2 linked regions of the Sus scrofa genome follow. The protein of the gene in region 1 purifies or fractionates together with the protein of each later gene. This does not show direct contact. Links are inferred from orthologs where the notes say so. Each region holds a gene or a part of one and is shown on either strand. Other genes may lie near its edges. The genes, in order: TRIB3 and RFWD2.

Evidence for each region.
Region 2: the proteins of TRIB3 (region 1) and RFWD2 purify together in Homo sapiens (affinity purification with mass spectrometry; 5 studies listed by BioGRID and IntAct, counting the BioPlex papers as one, with this or other methods). This does not show direct contact. The link is inferred for Sus scrofa from reciprocal best matches to the Homo sapiens genes TRIB3 and COP1.

The regions. Positions count from the first base shown.
Region 1 is NC_010459.5:34,809,504-34,813,322, reverse strand, and holds part of TRIB3 (tribbles homolog 3), read left to right. Parts: intron 1-222; coding exon 223-515; intron 516-2,753; coding exon 2,754-3,249; 3' UTR 3,250-3,819. UniProt on the Homo sapiens protein: Inactive protein kinase which acts as a regulator of the integrated stress response (ISR), a process for adaptation to various stress. Inhibits the transcriptional activity of DDIT3/CHOP and is involved in DDIT3/CHOP-dependent cell death during ER stress.
Region 2 is NC_010451.4:118,016,583-118,020,401, reverse strand, and holds part of RFWD2 (E3 ubiquitin-protein ligase RFWD2), read left to right. Parts: intron 1-1,452; coding exon 1,453-1,567; intron 1,568-3,819. UniProt on the Homo sapiens protein: E3 ubiquitin-protein ligase that mediates ubiquitination and subsequent proteasomal degradation of target proteins.

The sequences.
Region 1 (3,819 bases):
GAAAAAGAAAAAAAAAAAAGAAAGAAAGAAGGCACAGATGACAGAGGATATAGATTCAAATCCCAGCTCTGCCCTTTGCGGGCTGCTTGGCCCTCCTTGGTCAGAGTTGAGTGAAGTGAGGCTGCAGCGCTCAGCACAGGGCACCGTGGTGTCCCCAAGGCTGGCCTGCCCCCCACCCACCCCGTTGTCCCCACCTGTGTTCACGCCTTGCTCGGTCCACAGGTATACCCGGCCTGCGAGGCCCTGGCGGTGCTGGAGCCCTATTCGCGACTGCCCCGCCACCCGCACGTGGCCCGGCCGTCGGAGGTCCTGGCGGGCACGCGGCAGCTCTACGCCTTCTTCCCGCGGCCACACGGGGACATGCACAGCCTGGTGCGCCTCCGGCGTCGCCTGCCCGAGCCGGAGGCCGCCGCGCTCTTCCGCCAGATGGCCTCCGCCCTGGCGCACTGCCACCAGCACGGGCTCGTCCTGCGGGACCTCAAGCTGCGGCGCTTCGTCTTTAGCGACCGGGACAGGTGAGTGTGGCCACAGAGAAAGCCTCTCAGTGTGGACTTGACTGATGTTCTGGTCATGGTTAGACGGAGGTGATGCACTTGGGGCAAGAACATGGCAGAAGCCATAAGGCCTCCTCGGCCCACTGCACCTGGAGATACAAGAAGCTGATACCCATCTCTGTGACAGAACCTCAATCTCTAGTTAAGGTGTGGAGTTTCTCCCCTTGGAAGTTTCCTCATTTACTTCCTAATTACAAGCAATGAATTACTGGCTTGAGGTACATGGAGGCTTTGCTTGTGGATGGATATTCTATTTCTCCTCAAACTTTCACTCACTCATTTCAGTGCCGTCCATTCTGTCTGTAGCAGTTATTCACATGATGTCTAAGGGTGGTTTTCTATTTCCTTCTACATTTCATACAGAAATGAACATGTTTTTAGTAAGAAGTAAAATGTAAATTTTATAACGATGTTTAAGCTAATAATACTCAGCTTCAGGTAATTTTGAGTTTAGGGTAAGTTCAATGCCCCAGACTTCCCAGAAGTGAGCGAAGTGCTTTCTGGAGTTCTTGTTGTGGCTGCGGTAACAAATCTGACTCATGTCCATAAGGATGTGGGTTCGATCCCTTGGCCTCACTCAATGGGTTAAGGATCTGGCGTTGCTGTGAGCTGTGGTACCAGATGCAGCTGGGCCCCTCATTGCTGTGACTGTGGGTAGACCAGCAGCTGTAGCTCCTATTAGACCCCTAGCCTTGGAAACTGCATATGCTGCGGGTGTGGCCCTTAAAAAAAGTGCTTTCTTCTCTTTTCAAGGCAATAGTTTGAGAAGCACCATTGGTAAATGAGGGACAGTGGAGTCAGACAGACCTGGGTTCAAATTCTGTTTCTCCCTTTTTTTTTTTTTTTTTTTTTTTGGCCAAGCCTGCTGCATGTGCAAGTTCTGGGACCAGAGACAGAACAGAATTGAGCCACAGCCGTGACAACTGCCGGATCTTTACCCACTGCACCACCAGAAAACTCCTGGTTCTATTTTTTAACTTGCTCTTTGGCCTTGAGCAATGGCTTCACTGGCCTGAGCCTTGATCTCTTTATCTGTAAAATGAGCCAATAATACTGACACCTCAGCCCACCCTCTGTGCGGTGAGTCACAGGACTGGTCAGCGTTTTCAGACAGGCACCCAGGAAGTGGTGTCATAGGAATAAGATTAATAGCAGTGGTAATAGAATGCTGACTCTTAAAGTAGTCTAGAGTGCTCTGTGGGAGCTGTTTTAAGTAGAAGTTGCAAATGGGGACTATACACACTTTTTTTTTTTCACCTACATTTTTGTTTGTGTTTTTAATTGAAGTTGGTTGCCCACTTTTTAAAAACTGAGATTTTTGTCATTAAAAATGATTCTGGGCTTCTCTTGAGGCAAAATGGGACCCCAGAGCTACTGTGGGAACCATGTGAGTGGCTCATAGCACTGGCTCTGGGTGGGTGAGAGTGAGGTTCACATCCCAGCCCTGCTTCCTGTGGCTGCAAAATGGCATCGTCTTCAGAGGTTGTATGAGCGTGAAATGAGATGAGCCAGGTACCAGCTTAGCCCAGGGTCAGGTACACAATGGACACTCCAAATATTGGCCGAATGCTGTTAGCAGGGCCTTTTAGGTAGGATTTATGTTGAGGTGTTTGACACAATCTCCATATCCTATTTTTCTCATTTTGTCACCTGCCTTGACCCTAAGTTTGCCTCTGGTTTAAGAAGGGCTTAATGCCCTCAGCCCCCTCAGCGCCCCTGCCCCAGGGACTATTGGGAAATGTGTTCCTCCCAGAGTCCCTGTTCAAATGTAATTGCTCCATGACTTTGAGAAATGACTTAACTTCTCAGAGCTTAGACTTCCTCATCAGTAAAATGGGATCAATGACACAGCCTCACAGGACTGGCTCAATCAATCTGGCAAATGCCAGAAGGCATTTGGGAGGTAGATGCCATTAAGGGTGCCAGGGTAGGGAGTTCCCATAGTGGCTCAGCGGGTTAAGAATCCAACTAGGATCCATGAGGATGCAGGTTCGATCCCTGGCCTGGCTCAGTGGGTTAAGGATCCAGCGTTGCTGTCGCTAGGTCAGCAGCTGCAGCTCCCATTTGACCCTTAGCCTGGCAATTTCCATATGCCATGGGTACAGCCCTAAAAAAGAAAACAATAAGGGGGTGACAGTGTGGGGTGGTGGCATGATGGTCCCTTTAGCGAACCCCTCTGCTTCTCCCCTTGCTTTTTAGGACAAAGCTAATGCTGGAGAACCTGGACGACGCCTGTGTGTTGACGGGGCCTGACGACTCCCTGTGGGACAAGCACGCGTGCCCTGCCTACGTGGGCCCCGAGATCCTCAGTTCCCGGGCATCCTACTCAGGCAAGGCGGCGGACGTCTGGAGCCTGGGTGTGGCGCTCTTCACCATGCTGGCCGGCCACTACCCTTTCCAGGACTCAGAGCCTGTCCTGCTCTTTGGCAAGATCCGCCGTGGGGCCTTCGCCCTGCCTGAGGGCCTCTCAGCTCCTGCCCGCTGCCTGGTCCGCTGCCTCCTCCGTCGGGAGCCCGCTGAACGGCTCACGGCCCCGGGCATCCTGCTGCACCCTTGGCTGCGGCAGAATGCGGTCCCCACGGCTCCCTCAAGCTCTCGCCTCCGGGAGGCTGACCAGGTGGTCCCCGAAGGGCCGGGACTGGAGGAGGCGGAGGAGGCGGAAGAGGCAGAAAGAGATGTGGGTCTCTATGGCTAACTAACGCACAGACTCTCAGCCGCACTCGGCGGGTTGGGTTTGGGGTATCTCCACGCTCTCTCCCGCCTCTTTGAACCGAGCTGAACCTTAAGTGCCTTCTGGGAGGGAGAGAGAGGAGGTGTGCACGGAGCGTGCCAGATGCACAACCCATGGTTCTGCACACCTGTGCCGTTGAGCTCGTGCCTCGCTGGGTCCTCTTTGGGTGCTCACTGTGCCAAGCCGTGATTTGGGTACTGGAAACACAGAGAATGACAGAGACAGAACTCCAGCCTGCAGAGTGGACAACACTTTCCATGTCCAGGGGTCAGTGTCTATACACTGTGGGTGGCTCCCTCAGTGCAGGTGTCAGCATCCACTCGTGCTGGTGCCCAGGCACCTCTGACCTGGGACAGTCCCTTTCACAAACAACCCAGCTGCCTTTGTATCTCGCACCTCCTTAGAGAAAGGGAAGCATCACTGTGCCAAAGGCTCCAGGCCTCTCTCCCATAACTCAGGACCCTAGAGCTCAGACTATGCTAGGAATTGTGCTCCCAGCAGCTCTGTCCTCTTGGTCAAGGGATTCTCCATCCA
Region 2 (3,819 bases), on another chromosome or scaffold:
CTTTTGAGAAGTTTTTTGCCTTTTTTAAGTGTTTCTGTTGGATGAGGTATCTTTTCTCTTTGATTTTAAAATCTACCTGTTTTGGACAAAAACAGTTTTTCTTTAGGGTAGCTAGCTCATTGTGGATTTCTTTTTAATTATCCTTCTTGACAGAAATAATTTCTATGTCTCTGTCAATGTATGTTTTCAGTTTTGGAAAATTGTCAGCATCAACTCTTCAGATACATTCATTTTGGTTAATTCTTTCAGATTTATCTTTCAATTTACAAATTCTCTTTTTATTCTCCAATTCTAGTACTTGTTCTTTTGTAGGTATTTGTCCCCAAATTAGATTATCCTCTCCTTCTTCCTCTCTCTCTATTTTTTGCAGTTGAATCTGCTTGTCCTTCAATTTAATTCAAGAATTTCCTTCTTTCTCTTTCTACTCTGTTATATCTTGTTTACTGTCACCTCTCTGAGTGCAGTTTACTGTTTGGCTGTTTATCTCTTTGGAATTTGACTCTTTTTCTTGTGATCCAAGCACTTCTTTAAAATATAATTCTTATTGTCTACTCTTAGAAGGAGTTTACTTTAGATAAATGTTTTATCTGTGTTACTACTATTAAGTTACTTTTTAATTAATTCAATGAATATTTAGGTAGTAACTGAAATATTATTTGTTAATTAAGAAGCAACTTAATATTTCTTAATGCATCTTAATACATTTTCAGTTGTGGTATGATTATTGTTAACTTGTGTCATCTCAGGGTCTCATTATATTTCTTATTTCTTCATCTGTTAATGTGCCTCAAGCGTAATAGGTGATAACCAAGCAAAGTAGGTAATAACCATTTGTGGAAGAATTGGCATACCTTTTAGTTAGCATGGAGTTGGTATTATATATTTAGGATCATAGACTTTTGTTCTTTATATGATTTTTATGCCAATGTATTTCAGATTTGTTGTTGCTATCAATATATATATATATGTATGATTTATTCTATTCTAATGTATATGTCAAACTTAGTACATATTAATGGCCCCTTAACCTAATAATATTAAGTACCTATTCTGTACAGTCAAGTGCTGTTCCTCTTATTCAAAAGGTATAGGGCTGCAATATAAGGAGATGAAAAAGTAATTAGTTTTCTCTTGGTAATTGTTTTCTAACAATTACTAAAAATTAAAATTCTCAAAATCCTAAGTTTTAGAATGTCATAATGGATTCTATCTTCATTTAATTTCGAGAATTGAAAGAAGCTTCTTATATTATTCTTATAAAATTGGGCTGTTTTTCCTTTAAAATAAGAATTGGAAAATATGTCTAATCACTATTGAGTTTTTAACAATTTGTAATTATTTTAGTGTGAACTTTTCAAATTACCAAAAATATGCAAGCATTTGGATATTCTGTGATGAAAGACAGTATGAATTATTCTAAGTTACAAGTGTCTTTTCTTGTTATCACCTTAGACAAAGAAACAGCCCTGGTATAACAGCACATTAGCATCAAGACGAAAACGACTCACTGCTCATTTTGAAGACTTAGAGCAATGTTACTTTTCTACAAGGATGTCTCGTATCTCAGGTACACATTCAGGACTTCTTAAGATATCTCAATTCCTATTTCCATATCCATATCTAGCCTCTTATGCTGGATTTATGGAAAGTTCTATTCGTAAAGTAAAAGTGTGCATTTTTGACATTGTGGAAGTTTTTAGACATCTTGGAGAACATTGCTTTTCCATAACTCTTTATTCTTTATTTGGGAATTTTTAATCTTTATATGGCAAGCTGAGTAAACTTAAAAAACAAATCAGCCATGAAGAGGTAGCTAGCAAAAATAAGTTCAATTCAGTTGCCTCCTATTATTCAACATATGTTAAATTCTAAGTATTGTCCTCTGTGCCAAGAATAAAAAAAGAGGAAAGAACTGGTATTGTCAAGGAGTATTGTAAATTTAGTGGGGGAAAGCAACAGGTAAATAAATCTATGTGATATTACATGTTATATAAGTGTGCAGAGGGCCCTAAGGGAATAGAGAAGAATATCTGCTATTATAACAGGGAGTGAAAAAACCAGGCCAAGCTGTAGACAGTGAAATGTAAGAGAGTGATTATGATTACTGTAGGGATTTCAGAGAAGTTGTATTTAGTCAGGGCTAGTATAACCTTAAAAAAGATAATTGGAAGCATACTCAAAGTAGAGGAAATAACTTACAAAAAGATTTGTACGTGATAGCGTATAATATTTTTGTTGCTACAGAAAAGTAGTATATTTCTGTGCCCTTTTGTTCTCTAATCTTTAGCCTTTCTTGGTGTCTTTGCTCACAAAGGAGGTAGGGCCATTTATACCCATCCTCCAGGGTTTTTTTTTTTTTTTTTTTTTTTTTTTTGATGGACTGTAGATGATGCATATAAAATACAATGCTTAGTATAATTTAGATTCTCAATTAATTGATGTCATTCATAGTAGACCTGCTTAAAATGAGGATGACCAAAGGAAAAAGATGTCTGATATTTTTTATTAATTGTTAAAAATTTGGCCTTGGTTTTCTCTTTAATAGGCATGTTTGTATCATGATCTTCACATTGCTTGTCACTTTTGGACAAATTTGCCTCAGGATTGGAGGTGGAGGAAAAAACATATAGATTTGCATAGTATTTTTCCTGTGAAGACTAGGAAGAAGCCAAGCTGTCTCTAAGTGTGTTTGAAATTAATAGTCAGTGGCTTTCCTACAAATAGAAAGCTTCTTTGTATTGTCTGAGAATTAAACCCCTTCTTAAACTTCTCTAATGGTCTGTAGTCTATGGTAGGAAGCTGTTAAATTGAAAGTGGTCTGAGACCTACATTCTGACCGGCAGAAAGTCCACAGTAGCCCTTTCAGATGTTGTTTGTCAGTATGATGTTGAGATACAACCACAGGCGAATGGCAGACATTTTTTTAAAAAAGAGAACGAGGTGGGAGAGAGGTTGGAGTAGGCTATTGATTAATAATTTTTAAATAATGAGCATAATTAATGCTCTGGGAGAGTAAAGATTAAGTGTGAACCAATTTAATTTATTTTGGGGATATAGCTTTATAGGAAGGTAAAGTTAAAACCAGGAGGAAGATTAGATTTTTATTTTTGTAGACAAGGCTGTATTGTACTTAAAACATGTTATCTTTAGTTTTTAGTCATCTCAAACTTAATCAGATATGCACATTGACTACACTAATCATATTACTGAAGTTCCCCCTAGTGTCCTTGACTATAAGGATAAAATTTAAATTTTTACGTAATGGGGTACCTAAGAGTTTGTCCTTTTGTATGTATGTTTTCAAATGAGAATCCAGTCCCCATCCCCAACTTTAAGTTTTAGCTATTAAAATGAGAGACGGAGACTAATAAATTAATGCCTTGATCTCTTAATTGTAATTGAAAAAGAAGCTAAATTATAAAGCATTAGAAGAGAGAAAAGAGACAGTGAAAACGGTTTTACAAACTAATCTGTAATTAGAATAGGAGAGGTGATAGGCCAGCATGTGATGTATGGGTATTGATCATAAACCAACCAACCAAACAAAATCCTACCTTTTCACAACCAGATAAATAAAAGTTAATCCCTATACTTTCAGATACTGAAATAACTATTTTTAGTGTTTTTATAATTTCTTTTAGAAGTAGATGTTAAATGAGTGGGTATGATGGCAGAAGTTCAACTACCCTAGAAAAGGATTGTGATCTTGTAAAAAATAGACATTCTTAAATGCTTGTGAATTTTGTATACTTAGGAATTGATGTCAAAATGTAAAAGAATAGATTAACTAAAGCCATTTTTAAGTGGATATCTAAAGTA